Coturnix japonica: one gene and its partners. The protein of the gene in region 5 purifies or fractionates together with the protein of the main gene of each other region. This does not show direct contact. Links are inferred from orthologs where the notes say so. Each region holds a gene or a part of one and is shown on either strand. Other genes may lie near its edges. The genes, in order: TUBGCP4, CCT7, C6H10orf88, TUBGCP6 and NEDD1.

Region 1 (3,513 bases), on a different chromosome or scaffold from region 5:
AGAGCAGCGACGACTGACGACTGAACCCCTACAAATTACAGGAAACCTGTTCAGGAAAGCCTCTCAAAAGTATCACTGCAAAAGATTTTTGCTTGAGGTCTACTATAAGGTAACCTGTGAGCCGAAACAATTAGGTGCAGCCAAAAGGTGATATTGATTAATTCAAGTAATTCTGAGTGTCCACACAGAAGGTCTGATCTCAGCGTAGAACAAGAGTAAAGTTAAAGCTTAGCTGTTTGCAAGGGAGATGAACAAGACCATATCAATAGACATTCACCTTCACCAGAATACTGAGTTGTGCAGCTCCACGCTCATCTAACGGTCCCAGATTCTGACTCACCAGAGAACAAAAACTATGACAAAGGTCCAGAATTTCATTTAAACAGTGGAAAACCTGTACAGGGAAAAAAAGTACAGGTTACCAATTACATACAGAGCTCAGCCTCAGAGGAAGTTTGTTTTTAGTTCCTGAAAATTAAAGCATTCATAATCCAGATGATATTAATGCCATATTTTTCAGTAGTCACCAAGGCCCTTTTTCTTGAGGAAAAAACAACTTATAGAAAAAGAGTTGAAAACAAGATCTACTTACAGGCTTTAGGAGGATGAAAGACTGAGCCAACAGATTACTTAAGAAATGATCATGAGCCAGTCGTATACTCTCAAAATCTCGTGTGGCATTTATTTGCTGGAGAAGCTGTGAGAACTGAGATTCCAGTACATCCACCTGATGAATATGCAAAGAGTTTACATTAACAGCTTCCTAGAAGAATAGGAATACCTCAGACCAGCTAGAAGTTGTATAAGAAATTTGCTTTCCCTACCGCTACCCTTATATTAGAGGCTGAGCATTGATTTCTATCTGCGTCATTAATGGAGTTCTATATACAACAGTAGTACAGTAATAAGGAAAGAACTGATCCCAAATGCAGAAAAACAGTTAATTTCTAACTAGTGAAAAAAGTACTTAGGAAGCATGACTTTTGGAGCAATCTATTTGTTTCTGTACGATAAATCACATTCACGGCTACAAAGCACTGTTTTTCAATACAGTCACCACCACTAACTATGCACTTTCACCAGCAATGGGCAAAGCCTGCATAATATGCTCATCAGGGCAAAGGCTTGAGCCATTACTCCAGAAAGCCTGAAAATCAGACCCCCTAGATTCCACTGTTGTAGCTATTAACAAATTGATTTTTGCAAAATTATGCTACTACTAACTACTGTTGGGATTTGAAACTGAGAACATGGCTTCTTTCAATTAAAAAAAAAAAATCCTAACTAAAAGAAACAAACACAAAACCACCCAAAAGAACTCACTGTTACTCAACAAAGTAGAGTTCACTTCAAGGGGCAAAGGACCAAGACAGGATGCAGCTTATTGATTTAGCTTCAGGGGTAAGTGGGGCTTCTCACAGCTCCTTAATAGCACTAGAGAGCCAGAAACATTTGCATTTCCATTAATACTTAAAACTCTATTGATTCACATATCCACTAACTGTACAGTTGTAGCACTGAATCCGGGAACTTGGAGAAAGTTGTAGTTTAAAACTTCAGAGCTCCCACCCTAGATTTCTGTCAGTTCCCAATTAAGTGATACAAGTTCAACTCTGTTTAATACTCACTTGGAGATAATACTGGAGATTGTCCACAAGAAAAGCCATGTGGTCCCTCAGACGCCACTTGATGGCATCAGTTCTGTTAGATTTCAGGTGTTTACGTTGCATCTGGAGAGCCCAGCAATGCTGTAGCTCTGCCTGGACCCGTCGCACGCTGAGCAGGTATTTGAACACAACATTGTACCTACAGTCAAAAAAGAACAAAGCTGTTTAGGACAGAACTCTTTCTTGATTACAGGTACTGGAGAACACAACAGTGTAAGACTGGAAAGAGAAATGGCAGATAGTTGCCTGCCAACAGACAGGGTAGATGAAGTAGCAGCCAATTTCAGTAACAGATTCGATTGTATTGGTTATTGATTACAAAAAAAAACAAAACAAATTCTAACATTACCAGAAAAGAGCTGGTGAAGTTTTGACAGATCTGTTTTGCTGACAGCTCAGCCATGGCCTCATCTGCAACAAGTAACCTCAACATTGCTAAGTAGGAAGAGTAAGGCTCAGTGAGCAAGCTCAGGTGCTAAAGCTCTACCTTTAGATAGGTAGATACCTTTTATATGCTCTCTATAAGGGAAAAAAGCCTGAGATCAGGGAGCTTCCAGACACAAAGACAATACTTAGTACTTACTTTTCCAAAACAGCAGGAGTAAAGAGAATATGCAGTGGCCACTGAACTTTGTAAGAAAGGCCCAGAGCTGCCCAGCCAGATGCAGGAGCTTCACGTGGAGATAACTCTCGGGAAGTCCCTTCACGAGTCTGAGAAGAATCTGAAAACAGATAAGGTGCTCAGTTACGTCTTTCTCTCAGTCAAGGCAAAGCCTTCCAGAGAAGAATGAAAAGGGGAAAGAACAGAACAAGAAGAGGAAAAGCAAACTAGGGTATCACACAGGGCTGTTAAGGAAGAGAATTTAATATTTCTTAAATCCACATGAGAGCAGTAGGATTTTGAAAACCAGGTCATTGTCATAATCCCTCTTAACTCATTACTAAAAATTCAAATAGATACCTTTATGCTCCTTTCCATGATACTCAATGGTCAAGTGAAGCAAAGGAAGAAGGTTGTCATCATCTAACAGTACCTTATGAGCAGACTGCTGAAATGCAACATTGATGTCTGATAGAGAGAAAACACAAATATTAACAGAAAACTCAAGATAGGGACAGTGCTTATTTTGCACCTATTAATTATTTACGTTGGGCCATAAAAGACCAACACTACTTTCACTACTTTAACTTCGCTCTTCAATACGGAGAGAAAGCTATCATCTGAAAGTTACTGAAAGATGTTATTTTTGCCCAATGTGCATTATTCTGTAATTCAGAAGTACTGCTCTTTCAAAACTAATGAAAACATTCAGAGGATAAGATAAGGAAATCTGCACTGGACTTTACTATTTTCCTGCCAGAGCACAGGGAGGACATTTTGTAGATGAGTAATCAGCACTCACCATGTTCTGTTACAGCCGTAGGTGGTGTTTTTAACATGTGCTGTGCAGTGTCAATGAAGGCCTGAAACAGCTCGCCTCTTCCCAAAAGGTAAAAGTCTTTTATAATCTGTTTAGAAAAGTTTTTATATGTAAGCATATAAAAAACTGAGCAGAAAGAGTAAGCATTATAACTGGTAATGCTTTTTGATTACTTGGACAATTTCTGCCATTTCAAAACACAGCTGGAGAGCTGTAAACTTCATCCAGTGGCCAGAAAGTCTACAGTGCAATGCACTGCAAGCAATAAAATGAATCTCTGAGATGCAAAGCACAAAACCACATACATTTTCTCCTTTAACTCTGTCTCTGACTAAGTTCTATCACTGTACTCATGATCTTGGGAAATGAAAAGAGAGTTACCTAAAAGAAGAAAGTATAAAACATAAGACAGTAAAGCATTTGCT
Region 2 (3,993 bases), on a different chromosome or scaffold from region 5:
TGATTCCGACTGCTGTAACACTTCCCGCTTTAATGATTACATGCTAAATGAATTACAGAATCACAGAATGGCCTGGGCTGAAAAGGCCCACGATAATCATCTGGTTTCAACCCCCTGCTATGGGCAGGGTCATCAACCAGCAGACCAGGCTGCCCAGAGCCACATCCAGCCTGGCCTTGAATGCCTGCAAGGATGGGGCATCCACAGCCTCCTTTGAGCAACCTGTTCCAGTGTGTCACCACCCTCTGGGTGAAAAACTTCCTCCTAAGATCCAACCTAAACCTCCTGTTTATAACCATTCCCCCTTGTCCTATCACTATCCACCCTCATTAACAGCTGTTCCCCCTCCTGTTTACATATTCCCTTCTATTTTCCAAGCTAAACAAGCCCAGTTCCCTCAACTTTTCTTCATAGGAGAGGTGTTCCAGAGTAATTTCCTCCTTCTTACACCATAAAAAAATAACTTTTAACAGACTCTGGTGGGATTTTACTGTGATCCTCATATGTTTAAAAGCCTTCTAACCCAGTGAAAAGGAAAAATGGAATAAAACAGGAAAAAAAAGACCAAGCAGAGCCACCCCATTCTGCACAGTGCTGCCTTACCAACTGTGTGGCTGTGCGGAAGGCACGGATGATGATCTGAGGATGAAGGCCTTCCTCCACGTAGGGCTTCACTTGTTTCAGGAACTCAGCAGCAAGCAGAGTTACGGACGTGGTGCCATCACCAACCTGTATGGACAGAACACTTTAGTCACCTATGTACAGCAGAGGCCTCCAGAGGAAAACAGACTTCCTAACTCTCATTGCTCACAGAACTGTGGCTGATTCCTTCAGTGATTAAGCACAAGCTGGGTTCAGACTGCACTCTGTTTGAAGTTTCCCATCTCCCAGCCACCTCTGTTCATGACATTTTGCATCCATAAAGCCTCCAAACCCTTCTACTAAATCTGGCAGAAAACCCAGCCAAGCGTTTTAAAGTTATCACAAAAAAGATGAAAGCAATGAAGAAACCAGGATAAACAGCAGCACGCCACAACCGAGTTTGACCACTTAACGCAAAGCCAACATGCTGCTGCATCCTGTCCAGGTTACCCTCCTACCTCTGCATCCTGAGATTTAGCAATGTCCACCAACGTCTTCGCAGCCGGATGGACAACATCAAGGAGCTTCAGGATGGTGGCCCCGTCGTTAGAGATGGTGGCTTTGCCTACAAGAAATTCAGAAAAAGAAGCTAAGCCCCAAATAAAGCTCTTACTGCCTTGAAACAACACACATCGAACAGAGCTTTCCCAGTCTTGCTGTAGAGAGGCTGCTGTGCAGTGCTCACCTCTGTCATCCACAATGAGTTTGTCCATGCCCCGTGGTCCCAGGGTGGTGCGTACAGCCTCGGCGATCACCTGGCAGGCATTGATGTTGCTGACGAGCTGAGGAATCCCCTGCGAGGTGTCAGTGCCCTCCTTCAGCAGGATAACCGGTGTTGGCTGAGGAGAGAAACCAGGACAGAGCTGTTAGTCCAATCTCAACACGCAGCCCAGCAAGTTCACACTATTAACAAAGTTCACAAACTAACTGAGCTGAGAATCATAGAACTCACAGCATCATAGAATGGTCTGAGTTGAAAAGGACCACAGTGATCAACTGGTTTCAACCCCCTGCTATGGGCAGGGTCACCAACCAGCAGACCAGGCTGCCCAGAGCCACATCCAGCCTGGCCTTGAATGCCTGCAGGGATGGGGCATCCACAGCCTCCTTGGGCAACCTGTTCCAGTGCATCACCACCCTCTGGGTGAAAAACTTCCTCCTAAGATCCAACCTAAACCTCCCCTGTCTCAGTTTCAAACCATTCCCCCTTGACCTATCACTACAGCTTCCTTCCCTACAGCACAGCCCTATGAAGTCCCGATTTCAGTGCCCAGACTGTTAAGGACAGCCCTGCTCAGCAGAATAACCACAACAGTCTGCATGACCCCAAGGATGCTGAAAAACATGCTCACATTTAGCACATGGAGAACAATATCAAAGTGGTTACAGCTCAAGCATTCAGATAGGGGCTATAAAATACCAAAGGCAAAACCTCCTGTGCTCCAGGAGATGGCCTGCCCTTAAAGTGACCAGACATGCCCTGCAGGCAAAGCTTTATGCCCTAGCACCACCCAGTTTTGTTAGGTACCCTGATTGAAGTAACTGCTTGGAGGCAAAGGGGAATATTACACCATGAGTGCTGCACTGTATGATGTCTACACTGAAAAATGCTGCCAAGGGCCTGGGGGGGAGCAGAAAAGGGAAAAAAGGAAAGGGGGTTATGAGCATCACCGCCACCTACACCCTATAGAGATCTCTTTGAATGGGAACACGCCGTATCCCGCACCCTGCCCGCTCCCCAGCATCGCTATGTGGGCTCAGAGCATCCACAATGACCGACCCACCCCTCTATCCCCGGCCTATGGGTCCCATCTCACACCGCTGGGACCCCCGGGGCCTACTCCCTCACACAGCCCCGTGTAGGCCCCAGGCCCAACCCCGCCGCCATCCCCCCCTCCCGGCCGCCATCCCCCCCTCCCAGCCGCCCCAAACGCCGCTCGGCTCCACCACAACGGCTCCCACAGCCTCACGGAGGCCGAACGAGCCGACACGGAGCGATACAGCACGCGGATGGCGGAGGATTGCGCTCACCATCATGGCGGCGCTCCTCGCTGCCGCTCCCTGCACCGAGCCAGGCCCGCACCCACAATGCACCGCGCCGCCCAGAAGCTTCCCTGAGCCACGGCTTCCGGCCGCGCTCTATGGTGAGGGAGGACAGAGCGGCCGCAGCGAGGCGCCCTTCTTTCCCCCAATGACCATAGAGATGAAGCGACGGGCGCCAACCGCTGCGGCGGAGCGAGATGACAGGAGCGGCGGTCCCGGTGAATGGCAGCAGCGCCAACCAATAGGAAGGCTCGCTCGGAGTAGCTCCTCCAATGAGCGCGGGGTGGGGCGGGGCGCTGAGCGCAGCCATGCTCCGCCGCTCGCTATGGCTCTGGCTCTATCTCTGCTCCTGCCCGGGACGCGGTGAGTGCCGCCCCCCATAGACCCCCACCGACCCCTGTGACCCCACCCGGCTGCTTTGAGCCCCCCATATCCCGGCTATGCCCTATAGCGCTTCCCCTCGGTGCTCCGTGGCCTAATGGGCCCCTTTCTCCCTCAATCTGGGTGTATTTCCCCGACTTGACCCAATTTCCCCTCAATTCACCCCAATCTAGTTGTATTTTACCTCGGAGCACACTGGCCCTTCCATACATCACAATCCGAGTTCATTTTCCTCCTATACACACAAACCTGGCTGCATTTCCCCTCCCTATATAGGCTCAGTTATTCCCCATTTACTTTCCTAATCCTCCCATTTCCTCCCTTCTATTTCTCCCTACAGCTTTACGTATCCATGAGTATCTCTATTTCCAAGTGCTGAGCCCTGGAGACATCCGCTATATCTTCACTGCCACTCCAGCCAAAGACTTCGGTGGGGTGTTTGTAAGTATTAAGAACTCAATTCAGCTTCCCCATCCTTCTGTTCCTCCACTGCACGGCCTTAAAACCTTCTATAAGAATAGATCCAATTGCTTTTCTACAAGCTTTCCCTTTGGCTTGTGCTGGAGGGGATGAGCGGGGTTGGGAACAACCCTGATCCTACTCACTCCCTCCTTGTTTCATGCTTGGAGAACACAAGGTATGACCAGATCCACCTGGTGCCAGCAGATCCCCCCGAGGCCTGTGGAGAGCTGAACAATGGGGTCTTCATCCAGGACCAGATTGCTTTGGTGGAGAGGGGGTACGTGTCTGTTTTCTATTTATCCAGAGTCTGAGGTTCTGAGTGAGGGATGATGCCAGGCAAACAATCCCTATAGTCCCCATAGTCCCTGTCTTGTGCATCATCTACTGGGCAAGCTTTGGTATTAAGGCTGGTAAAGACAAGACATTGAGTTCAACCATCAACCCACCCAACCATCCCCACTGACC
Region 3 (3,974 bases), on a different chromosome or scaffold from region 5:
TTGGTACAAACAGTGAGAATAAAATGCTTGTGTACTCATTTAGACTTGCTAATACGCACAAGCTGCTAGTTAAGTTAACTTACCCAACAGTTTGAATGCCCTCTTCTTTAGTCACCACGCTTTTATCGAGATGCCTTTCACTGTCTTTTAGCCGAAGATGATTAACTTGACTGCATAAGTTCTGAAGAAAAGGAAGGAGCATCTGTGGGGCAGCTACGTTCCGCATTCCATCTGTTTGCTCCTGCATAAGCAAAGACCCCATAGCTTTGAAATAATTTCTGAGGTCAGCTGTATTCTGCTGTGTATTAAGTTCTTTAGAGTTAGAAACATCCTCTCCTTCAGGAACCTGTGCTTTCAGATCAAGATTTAAGTTTTCACATCCTGTTTCACTTGTTAAAGGACTTCTGACTGATGAAGATTCAGTGACTGATTGATGTAGTGATGTCTGAATGGCTGCACCATGTAATCCATCTACCGGATGCTTGTTTCCAAAGTCTGAGTTCTTCCCAAACATCCAACTAAGTTTGTCTCCAAGAGGTAAACTGTTCTGATGGGAAGAAGAAAGGTACATTTAAACATTAAGTGCTAAAATATACTGAAGGTTGTGCTGTAACAGCACCCAGGCTACAAGTTTAACTCCAAGTGATTAGAGCATTCTACTAGCATGATATAATGACTTAAAAAGTAGCTGTGAATTATATTCATAGGGCAAAGCATAGAAAAACTTTCCTTGCATGTGCTGTGCTTGTTACCTTGTTGCTCTGAGTAACAAAACAACTTCACTTACTTCATGTCATGCATTTAATAACAACAAAGTCAAACTCATCCATCTACTTACACCCCAAGCGCAACAAGAAACATGTCCACCAATGAAGAAATCACAAGAAGTGACAAGTGAAATGGACAAGCGGACAACAGGGCGACAGTGGAGATGAAAATGATGACAATGATGCAACGCTCTTAACTCTGATCTTTATGTGACTCCTTGAGTTCTTAATTCACTGCAGCATTTAAGAGCAGCAACAGGAAAGCCAAAAACAACCAGAACTTTTTCCACTGAATCAGCTTAGAAGGTGCTTAACTGTCACAGGAGGCAAAGTCACAGAACAGCGCTATTGATGTCTATGGAGCAGCACAGTAACTTACTTTCTGCTGATATCGAACCATGTCCATGAGTTGCTGAGCACCTGGAGACAACTTGGATCCCATAGAGTCCATTATAGTTTGCACTCTGTCTAGATCTATGCTTGATCCTAGTGAAGGAAAATCAGTTGCTAGTTTTGCTGAAACTGTATTCACTTGTACAATTATCTTACTGATGAGTACCCTTTGTTTCTCACCAATGGAGAGCAGCTATTGCAAGAAGGAAAAAAGGTATCTTGGTTAGGAAGGAAAAAAACACAATTCAATGGTTTCTTTGCATGAATACGTTAGGAATTCAAGTTGATTTCTTTCTCTTGGTCAGAATTCTGACTCAACAGAAGTTACTTGCATGATCAAAGCATCAATTAGTACTTAAATACAGCAATAGCTGTATAGGTTTTCCTAAGCTTATTTATCTGCATCACGGGGTTCCCATTACCAGTGTACACATTCACAGTGTAGTTAGTAGTTCTGATTATATTACAACTGCAGATTGCCTATAATGTATTTGGTTTATGAAGGCATTTCTGTATGAGGTAACAACTTTCTCATATGTGACTTCATAGATAGAAAATTAAGAGAGCTATAAAGGCCATACAACAGTCTTAAGTGGTAATGTGATTATGGTATAGAAATAACAGTAATTGGGGGAAGGGTAATGCAATTTAGCCAATCAAATGATTGAATATCACACAGAATGACCTGGGTTGGAAGGGACCTCAAGGATCATGTAGTTCCAACCCCCCTGCCTGGCAGGGCCACCGAACATACACCTTTACTACATCAGGTTGCCCAGGAGACCCCATAGATCCCCATAGAGACCCCATAGATCAGGTTGCCCAGGGCCCCATCCAACCTGGTCTTGAACACCTCCAAGGACGGGAAAAGACAACGAGAAGTGATAGATTTCCACCAAACTCCCTACCTTAATCCTACAAGAGGTCGCCGGGCATTCCAATTTCAGATACTTTTCGTATAAACTCACACTTTCAGTTTCACTGCAAAAACAAAAGGAGCAATCTGTGACACCACACGTATTTCTTAGGGCAGTGCGGCAGTTTTAATGTTGTGATTCCTTGTGTGTGTGCACAGCACGGGTCAGCACAGCTGCAAATGACAGTTTTCATTTAACTCATTAAGCAGACGTGCCTCACAACCAATTAAAAACAAATAAAATCCATCAGCTCCCAGCTGTGTTTCCTCACTCACCCCGGGGGCTGCATGCCTCCAGCGCTCATCCCACGGCCGGTCCCGCAGTACTCCTCTCCCACGTACACCTCCATGTGCCGGGCCTCGCTCACCACACCGACCTTCTCCACCCGCTGTGCTCCGTTCCGGCACTCCAGCTGCAGCACACACGGCGTACCCCCGCCGCCATCCCGCCGCTCCACCACCACCACGGCCTCACAGCTGAGGAGGGAAGCGGGGAGAGCCGCGTTGCCTCTCCAGGCCGCCTCCCCACCCCGGCCCTCCGCCGCCCCTCGGCCGCAGGGCTTCTGCTACCTCCTCCTCGTCCTCCCTCACCTCGTTTCATCGCAGCCCGCCCCGCTCCGCACACATAGAGCCCGGGTCAGGCCGTCGGGCGGCTCGCAGGGCCACGAGCAGCCCACGGTCACGCCATGCAGGGCAGGCGCAAGGCCCAGAGCGCCGCCGCTCGCCATCACCAGGCCGGGGCAATGCGCATGCGCGGGGCGGGCTTGAGCTCTCCTCAGTGCTTCAGGAGTTGATGGAGTTTTGTATCGCCTTGTTGTGCTTATGGCATGTTAATAGTGTGACACGTAGAGAGCAGAGCATGAATTAAAGATTGAGCTCGTTTAATTTGCAGTAGGATCCAGGCTTATGGAGTCTCTTTACGTTTTGGTGTGGATACGAGTCTAGGGAGCTCGGATATCGAGTTCTTGTGGGCTGAGGGAGGTGAATTAGGGCTGTGGAATAGGAAGATGGATTTGCATTGTCCTTATTCAGTACAACACGACTGCTAATATCTCTGACTTTTGTTTTATTTTTGCACTTGAGCCGTTATTTCATGCTACTGACCAGCACTAGGAGAAACGGCTTCGCTCTGCTTTAATTTACAATTCATTAAAATTAATTACTTCATGTAAATGTCTTAAGTGTGAATGCTGTGTTGCCTGGGTCTCCTGTTTGGGTTTCTAAGGCTGCTCAGTGCTTCTGAAATGCGTTGTGTGTTCACTCAGCTTTAGGAGCATTCATTTCCTTCCTAATCTTGATGCTGATGTTGTTGCTTGGTGCTTTGGAAGGTTATTCTGATCCTGGAAGAGCGATGAAGCCTTCAAAATCACAGGCTTTTGGTGAGGAGAATTATCCTTAATGCAGGGGGGGTGTGGCTGAAATCCCTGTGTTAGATGTAGCTGTGTTGGTACGCACTGCAATTTAAGTATTTCTAAGATAAACTAATAGAAAACAAGTAGCTGGAATTCCAGAGAGCACATAAATGTCTCAAATATCACAGCTAGCAAGACCTGACACTTTGAGTCTCACATAACCTCTGTTATGTGGTTACAGTCAAAGTCCTTCAGAAGGAACCAGCTCGGTTCTGGCATGATGTGGCTGTCTGCCTCCAATCAGCATTTCAGAGCGCTGCTTTTTGTTTGCCTTAAGCTGCTTAACCAGTTTTCTTGCAAGCCTAATGGATGAACTTTTACTTCCCGGTTTCCTTAGCAGAGATGAAGTATCCGAGAGCCTTTTCTGTTGTTTACCTTCAGAGCAGACTGTTCCTCATTCTTCTAGTTCCGTGTGGAGCAGCTGAGAGCCAGGTGTCTGCAGGGAATCTAGTCATGCTAAAGCACGGCCTGCTTTTCTTTGCTTTG
Region 4 (3,513 bases), about 24 Mb from region 5:
AGACTTTACATGTTTTTCCAAGGGAACATAAAGAAATCTTGATGTGAAATTGCTGGAAGAATACCGAAAAATTATGTAAGAATGGCTGCCTAATACTCTCCTGTTTTGTAAAGGAAAAAAACAGACTGTAGTTTGTGTTTTATGGAAAGCTTAAATATTTAATGTTATTCTCTTACCTCAACTGACGGCCCAGTTTCCTGAAGAGAAAGCTGATGGTCAGAAGACTTAAAGTAGGAGGAGTAGACAAAACACAGGCTCGGTAATACTGAAGATACTTCCTCAGACCACTTGTGAAAGCCTATTGTCAACAGAAAATATTTACAAAGCCTTACTGGTAAAGCTGTTAATAGTTACTTATATCTCACATCAGTTGAACCGGCATGAAAATGAGCCTTTAATAAAATAATCTGCATGTAAAAGTAAGAGGGGCTCGTGTAGGAAAGTAAGAGTCCACATAACTTCAGGCATACAATTAACCAAATGACTCCTTTATACTCTTCCTACATGCTATGCACAAAGCCTGCACCCAGGCACACAATGAGCATTTTGGTTCACCTTCCTTGAACTGCCCTTTTGAAGGCATTCTGATTTTCTAGCAGCTTCATTATGAACCCAGGGAAACCTGTTTCCTTACTTCCATTCCTAAATTATGCAGTGGAAAAAGCTCCTATAAAAACATCTACTTTTTCCAGCATGACTTAGAATTAAATAAGACTTTTCTGTTCAATTTCTATTGACGTAACTGTAAATGAAATATTCAGGAGGCATATATTTTCATAACTAATCCTAAAAGAACTATATGCATTAGAAAGAGAAATGTACCTGGTATCATGCAGCTACACACAGTTCAGAAAAATATAAAGAGGGTTGACAAGTAAAATGTGCGCTTAATTCTGATCTAAGAAAAGTTATTAAAGCTATTAAATAGCATGTTTCTCTATTTTAGTATCAATGTAATGTATGCAATGTTATTTATATGCATACCGTATTAAGAAAGGTATTATATTTTATATATACATGTTATATATATATAAATGTTATACATTTTAACATATAAATGCTTCTAAATTCTGCCCCTTTAGATCTCAACAAAACCACACAACAAATCACAGTTCAAGTAATGAAGAGCTTTCATTTGTTGCTTTGGGGCAGACAAACCCTAAGCAACCACAGCTCCAATTTAAACAGGGCTCCACGGTGTCACTGTCCCTTGCTGACCCAGGATACATAAATACACATATTTGTATTGAAAATACTTCGCAGTTCTGCAGAAGGAAGAAATTCCAGCCTTATATGAAATCAAAGTTGTGTTCTCTGCCTAAAATAACTGGCCCATCAAACGTAAGTGATTTGACACAATGGTGCTACCTGAAACACAAGCCCTTTGCTGTACGAAGAATCTAAGACTGGCTGAAGGGAGAAGCGACTCAGCCGTGTGTAGTAGGTTCCATATTCCGCAACTTCTGAGAGCAGGTTGTGCATCGTCTCCGGCGAAGTTCCAGACACATAAACCCCCTCCTTTATTATAAATGTTTGAGCAGCCTAAAATGAAACAGGAGAGGAAAGCAAATAGGCTTCAAATATTACCCAGCTGCATTCTGATTTAAAACAGCAAACGTTTAGAGACAAATCTTCAGCATAGGTACTCTGGTAAATCATACTATATATGTAGGAAAATATAATAAGAGTATTAAATTGTAGCAAAACTTCAAAAGTGCATTTTCAAGTATGTCAAAAAAGATTAATTATAACAATTTTTCATGAAAACCCAGCCTACAACATTATTCAAACTTCTGTTTTCTGTAATTAGCTCATTTTTGCTAATTATTTTGACAAATACTTGTTCCCTGCCTATAAGTCGTTATTACAATGTACAGATGTGACGTTATCGCAATTAAGTCACACTTATCCTCTTAACACAACTGTGAGATCTCAAAATAAATCATGTATTGAAAAGGAGGTATCTAAGAAAAAAAAGAAAAAGCAAATGCAACTGAGAATTGCAGTTAAATACATTTCATACCTGGTTGAGTGAAAATGTAGTGGATACCACACCAATGAGGACATTCAAGACATCCTTCACCAGTTCAGGTTCCCTCATCAGCACAAGCTGTGGAAGCTGAAGTACGGTACTACTGAAAAGCTGCATTTCCCCCTCTCGGAGCTTGTAGAACTTGTCAAAAGCTTCTCTCCCAGCCTCAGTAAGGTACGGCTCCTCCTTCTTACCAGGTGGGCTGCCAGAGTAAACAAAATATTGGAAGGTGATTATGTGAGAAATAGATCTACCGCTTCCTAGCAGGGATTACCATCCCCTCCAAAACAAATTTCCCATCCAACTCTTCCAAACTCTTCACAGTTCTAGCAGTATTTCTTACAGGAAAGCTTCAGGTATATGGTCTGCATTTGACTTTTAAGGGTTTAATTCTTCTAGCAATTTCTCTTCTGAATCTGAAAAGATGAAATCATGTTAGGTTGAAATAAATTGCATTGTGTATGCAATGTTGCATTTCACATGATCAGAAAGTGTTGCCATAACTCCTTCAGTTTTTAGGTCTAAGATAATTTTTTCTTCCCATGAAACAGATGCAATCTAAAGGCTGGTTCGCTGAAATGGCATGATCTCAATCATTAATACATATATTGAATTCTACATATTAAATATGCATTAAATAGGAATACTGCATATTCCTATTGCATATTTAACTCCTATACTGAGGTCATTCAGAACTAAGATGAATTGCACCTTCATACATTCACATGTGAAGCACAGGAAGTTTGCCAATAACATCAGATACATACTATCCAATTCTTTCCCAGCATCTTCTTTTGCTTGGCCCATATGTAAGCACTGCATCCCACAGATCTATGTCTGGAGTCATGCTTGGCTCTGACTGAGAATCAGGAGTCAGATTGGATGCCGACTGGAATCCTTCATCTTCTGACTGGTCTATGCTTTGAGGAACCTGTCAGAGAGAGTTCAAGCTTTACGTATGAAAACATTACTAGAGAAACATATGCTGATAAAGATTTTGCTATTATTTGTGATCAAGTGACTCAATACGACTCAGCCAGTGCCCACTCCTTTCATCTCTAAGTTTCTCCTTTAAATGTTCCTTCACTTGTTCCATTTTCAAAGGCACCAATGCCTAAATATAAAACAACAATCAATCACCGCTGAAATAATAACACTAAGTTTCTTAATGTTAAAACTGAAACTTACTCCTCTGTATGCATGCAGTTCTAAGAAGAATAAAATGGCACTGCTCAGAAAGTCTTTTAAGCAGATTATTAATGATAACTCTTACAATTTGTACAAATGTTGTTAACACTTTGTTCTCTGATGCTTATTCAGATGCAGAAAACCCGTAAGTGTCCAGGCACTGCGTGTGCCACACTCTGATCTCAGGAGTTGTACATGAAGAACGGCACCCAGGCTTAATAAGATTATGATATCCACACAAAAAACACAGCATGTTCTTCAACAAATCTCAAATCCCAGTCTGATGGAGAGTA
Region 5 (4,144 bases):
TCTTTTCATTGTAGCTGAAAGTTTGTCTCCATTCCACATCTGGAAAAGGAATTGGTAGTATTTCCAGATCTGATAAGCTGTGGGATAGTGTAAGGGAAGAGAGAGTACCGTGGGGACAAGTTGAAAGGACTGCAGAATGCACAGCGTTTATCTGCAGTGCATCTCCTGGATGATGCACAGGATGGCTCCTACTGGGAACCAAAGAAAAGTAAAAGCAGCATTTCCTTTACATTCCTTTGGTGTTCTCTGTTCTGTGAGCTGAATGTAGTAAGAAACCAGCAAGCAAAAATAAAGCTTCTGGTCCTGTAACGAATAACTGCATGTCCCAGGCTGTGGTGGGCCTCAGATTGAAACTGAATGGAACTGAATGCACTGACAACTCTGGAGGTGCTTATTTATTTATTTTTTTATGTTTATTTCATTCTTTCAAATTCTGCTTTGATATATTCTTAACTAATATTCCCTCCCCCCCCAATTGTGGCACTCGGAGGATCTGTCTCGCACCAACAGATATCCAGCAACTTGGAATTATTTCTGCTTAAATTAATTTGACGATGTGGAAATCGGTAATTTCACACACAGATTTATTCAATTGTATGTGAGTGGTTTTTAATTCCCACTACAGCTCCAGCTCACGTTCACGTTTTGTTTGGCATCAGGATTTCCCCAGTATTTGGAAGCCAGCAATCTAACAGAATAATCCCGGTAATGAGCCGCTCTATGCCTCAGTTTCTTTATTGGATGATGACAGCGATCCCTTCATCGCTGTGTATTATGGAGCTTTTTGCATCGACATCTGGAAAATGTTTTCAGATCCTTGAATTAAAGAGGCGGAGGATTGAAGTTATTAAGAAATTGATTCGCAGTGTAAAAGGAGCAGCCAGTTGTTTCCAAAACCGCTTTCAGTCAAATCCAAGAATAAAGATTTTAAACACTGAATAATGAGGGAACTCGAATTAATTGTTGGAATTACAGGCTAATATGCTGAACTAATTAAGCTAGCAGAGAGTTCCATTAATGTTTGCCAAAGATCCTCTTTGTGTTACAGATACCGAGTATATCATCAAATGGGAGAAATGAAAACACGAAGCATAGGTTTATGAGGGTGGAAGGGTCCAGGGGCAAGCGCAGAAGTGAAATATTAACCAGTGCAATTTAATTTTCCACTTTGAAACAAGAGATAATGAGAATGAATCATTGAGGATTCTACTCAACTAAGTAGTAACTCTCACTCTCACTTTGCCACCCCTCAGTGCTAACCCACAAGCACAGCGATGCTCTATGGTTGAACACCGGCTATATCCCATCCAGCACCCGCACCCCTCCAGCCCCGCCCCGCCCGGCTTCTCTCGTCCCCTCCGGGCCACCGTAGCGGCGTTGGGAGGCGGGTACGCGCGGGGGCTGTTGGGACGGGTTGTGAAGTTGGACGAGGCGCGGAAAGTCGGCGGTGAGTAGCGGAACCGGACAGAACCGCGAGCGGCGGCTGCTGAGCGCATCGGAGCGGCCCGCTCCTGCTGCCGGGCACGGGCACTGAGGAGCCGCCGCCGGGCGGGGAGGGGAAGGTGGGCGGCGGGGCCCAGAGATGCTGAGGGAACCTGTGGAGCGGCAGGGATGGGGGTCGGGGGGATCACCGTCAGCTTCTGCTTCTGAGTGAGGGGGAGCGGAGAGCGAAGCCGTGTGGGAGCGTCCCGTCAGAGCTCCCGGCTGGAGGCCTCTCAGCGTGTGTTGGTGCTGCTGGTGCTTCAGGTTACCCGGGTGTAAGCTCCACAGGGATGGGCCTCGGCTCCCAGCCGCAGCACAGTGCTGCAACACGGCGGGTTTTCCTGCTTCTGGAATATTGTATCCAGTTCTGGACTCCCCGGTACATAAAAGACAGGGATCTCTTGGAAAGAGTCCAGCGGAGGGCCACTAAGATGGTGAAGGGCCTGGAGCATCTCCCCTATGAGGAGAAACTACGTGAACTGGGTCTGTTCAGCCTTGAGAAAAGAAGGCTGAGAGGGGACTTGATCCAGGTTTATAAATACCTGAGGTGTGGGGGCCATGGTGGTGAGGCTGGTCTCTTTTCAGTAGTGCGTGGGGATAGGACTAGGGGTAATGGGATGAAACTACGGCATAGGAAGTTCTGCACCGATGTGCACAAGAACTTCTTTACAGTGAGGGTGACGGAGCACTGGAACAGGCTGCCCAGGGAGGTGGTGGAGTCTCCTTCTCTGGAGATATTCAAGACCCGCCTGGACGCCTACCTGTGTGACATGGTGTAGGGAGCCTGCTTTGGCAGGGGGGTTGGACTCGATGATCTCTAGAGGTCCCTTCCAACCCCTACAATTCTGTGATTCTATGATTCTTCATTTGTGAGCTGCCTTAAAAAAGACCTTGTAGTGTCACGTTTCAAGTAAATCACCTTGTTCTCGAGGGAACGGTGTTGAATGGGGCTGTTCTCGACTTGTAAAGTGACCTGTTGTGTGTTCTTCATTAATTTTATTATTATTATTATTTTCTTTGCAAATTAGGTGCAGCCATGCAAGAGAGCATTCGTTTTGCTTCATCAGGAGATGACATTAAGATATGGGATTCCTCATCTCTGACTGTGGTGGAGCAGTTCAACCCACATACATCTCCGCATCCCATCAGCTCTCTGTGCTGGGCCGCCAATAGTATCCTTTACAGCTTCAGTTCTGTGGGTGCTCTGCGGTGATTAAGTGTAGCAGGAAGGGGAGAGAAACAAGATCTGTGTATTTTTGTGCATACAAATGTGCGTGTGTATGTATATTTACTATGTCTATATACACACACATCTATATATGTCTGTGTCGATAAGTAAACTTGAGCATAGACACTTTTGTCCTACTTGCTTTATCTCTTTATCCCTGTCTCCAGAGCTGAACAGCATCCCGCTCCATATGCTTGTTAGGTTAAACAGTTGGGTTTCATTCTGCATAGTTCTTTAAGCTAAAATGTCTCAAAATAAAGTCACCACTCTGCATATCACCTTATAGTTGGACTAGATGATCTTAGTGGTCTTTTCCAACTTAATGATTCTGTGGTGTCAAATGCAGTCCTATAAGTTCTTAGTAAGTCTCCTTAGTAAGCAAATATAGAATCACAATGGGTATCAGCCTGAAGACGTAGGGGATGCAGATCTGAGTGATTACCCAAATAGTTTGGGGTTGGGTGCAGGGCCAGTTTCCTTACTCTGCTCCTATACTGGAGGCTTTTCTTAGCGCTTTGACCTACTTGGTGCAATAAAAGGTATTTTCTTCCTTTCCCCCTCCCCCATACAGACAGAGACAAGCTAGCAAACGTATTTATTGTATTCCAGGGACAATTAGACAAACTGCTTTAATTAACATTTATCACGTGCAGGACTTCTCAGTCAAATTCTTTTGCTCTTTCAATTTGTTCTGGTAGCAGCAGCAGGTGTCACTCTGAACTCCAGTGATAAAGGAGCTTGTACTTGGGCTGGTGGGGTTAAAAAGGAACTGGGTGAGCTGCCACAGGGAAGAGCTCTTAAACAATATCTGCCCGATATTTCTCCTCTGAAAGAAATGGCACTGCTTTGTATTGGGAAGCAAGAGCTGCAAACGCTACGAGAGCTTCTTAGGGGAAGCTCATTAAGTAGCCTTATGTTTCTATTTCTAGGGCCCTTCAAGGTGAAGTACTGCAGATAGTTTGGTTTCCTGTTAGCTTTCCAGTACGGGAGACTCACGGTTGCTATTAATGCAATTGAAAGTTTGATATGGTTATCATCCATAACTTGTCCCTAAGATAGCTTCCTGGTCAGTGCTTCAGCTGCTGGGGATAAAATCGTTGTGTCAAGCTGCAAAAGTAAACCTGTTCCACTCTTTGAAGTAGCTGAAGGAGTAAGTATGGGGTTGTGTGTGTGTGTGTGTGTGTGTGTGTATGTATGTATGTGTCCCCAAACCATCTTGTGTGCTGTTTGCATCTCATCTCTCCTGCACATTGATTGTCAGTTGGATTTTAGAGGGGTGAAAAGTGAATGTGAAGGGGACAGGTGGCACTATAAACTCTTCAGAAAGCCAGACTTGGTTTTGACAGGGTTACTCCAGTGACTCCTTGTAATCTAAGCCATTCTTGTTGTTCTCCTTAAGTAGCTACTGTAATGTTCATTTAATTGGGAGTCCTG

The links.
Region 1: the proteins of NEDD1 (region 5) and TUBGCP4 purify together in Homo sapiens (affinity purification with mass spectrometry; 3 studies listed by BioGRID and IntAct, with this or other methods). This does not show direct contact. The link is inferred for Coturnix japonica from reciprocal best matches to the Homo sapiens genes NEDD1 and TUBGCP4.
Region 2: the proteins of NEDD1 (region 5) and CCT7 purify together in Homo sapiens (affinity purification with mass spectrometry; 3 studies listed by BioGRID and IntAct, counting the BioPlex papers as one, with this or other methods). This does not show direct contact. The link is inferred for Coturnix japonica from reciprocal best matches to the Homo sapiens genes NEDD1 and CCT7.
Region 3: the proteins of NEDD1 (region 5) and C6H10orf88 purify together in Homo sapiens (co-immunoprecipitation; 3 studies listed by BioGRID and IntAct, counting the BioPlex papers as one, with this or other methods). This does not show direct contact. The link is inferred for Coturnix japonica from reciprocal best matches to the Homo sapiens genes NEDD1 and C10orf88.
Region 4: the proteins of NEDD1 (region 5) and TUBGCP6 purify together in Homo sapiens (affinity purification with mass spectrometry; 3 studies listed by BioGRID and IntAct, with this or other methods). This does not show direct contact. The link is inferred for Coturnix japonica from reciprocal best matches to the Homo sapiens genes NEDD1 and TUBGCP6.

The regions. Positions count from the first base shown.
Region 1 is NC_029525.1:18,420,357-18,423,869, forward strand, and holds part of TUBGCP4 (gamma-tubulin complex component 4), read right to left. Parts: intron 3,177-3,513; coding exon 3,071-3,176; intron 2,737-3,070; coding exon 2,629-2,736; intron 2,390-2,628; coding exon 2,251-2,389; intron 1,807-2,250; coding exon 1,629-1,806; intron 728-1,628; coding exon 593-727; intron 395-592; coding exon 278-394; intron 29-277; coding exon 1-28. UniProt on the Homo sapiens protein: Component of the gamma-tubulin ring complex (gTuRC) which mediates microtubule nucleation.
Region 2 is NC_029519.1:81,269,560-81,273,552, forward strand, and holds the start of CCT7 (T-complex protein 1 subunit eta), read right to left. Parts: upstream 2,807-3,993; 5' UTR 2,680-2,806; coding exon 2,674-2,679; intron 1,482-2,673; coding exon 1,101-1,481; intron 730-1,100; coding exon 604-729; intron 1-603. Other genes in the region: PRADC1 (protease-associated domain-containing protein 1), read left to right, coding at 2,958-3,048, 3,407-3,507, 3,696-3,805. UniProt on the Homo sapiens protein: Component of the chaperonin-containing T-complex (TRiC), a molecular chaperone complex that assists the folding of actin, tubulin and other proteins upon ATP hydrolysis.
Region 3 is NC_029521.1:27,968,776-27,972,749, forward strand, and holds the start of C6H10orf88 (ATPase PAAT), read right to left. Parts: upstream 2,805-3,974; coding exon 2,668-2,804; intron 2,554-2,667; coding exon 2,353-2,553; intron 2,142-2,352; coding exon 2,069-2,141; intron 1,354-2,068; coding exon 1,147-1,353; intron 548-1,146; coding exon 84-547; intron 1-83. Other genes in the region: disintegrin and metalloproteinase domain-containing protein 9-like, read left to right, coding at 3,798-3,974. UniProt on the Homo sapiens protein: ATPase that regulates mitochondrial ABC transporters ABCB7, ABCB8/MITOSUR and ABCB10. Regulates mitochondrial ferric concentration and heme biosynthesis and plays a role in the maintenance of mitochondrial homeostasis and cell survival.
Region 4 is NC_029516.1:18,133,478-18,136,990, forward strand, and holds part of TUBGCP6 (gamma-tubulin complex component 6), read right to left. Parts: intron 2,964-3,513; coding exon 2,800-2,963; intron 2,235-2,799; coding exon 2,024-2,234; intron 1,543-2,023; coding exon 1,369-1,542; intron 299-1,368; coding exon 177-298; intron 1-176. UniProt on the Homo sapiens protein: Component of the gamma-tubulin ring complex (gTuRC) which mediates microtubule nucleation.
Region 5 is NC_029516.1:41,887,398-41,891,541, forward strand, and holds the start of NEDD1 (protein NEDD1), read left to right. Parts: upstream 1-1,341; 5' UTR 1,342-1,447; intron 1,448-1,462; exon of another isoform or gene 1,463-1,562; intron 1,563-2,510; 5' UTR 2,511-2,518; coding exon 2,519-2,654; intron 2,655-3,765; coding exon 3,766-3,860; intron 3,861-4,144. UniProt on the Homo sapiens protein: Required for mitosis progression. Promotes the nucleation of microtubules from the spindle.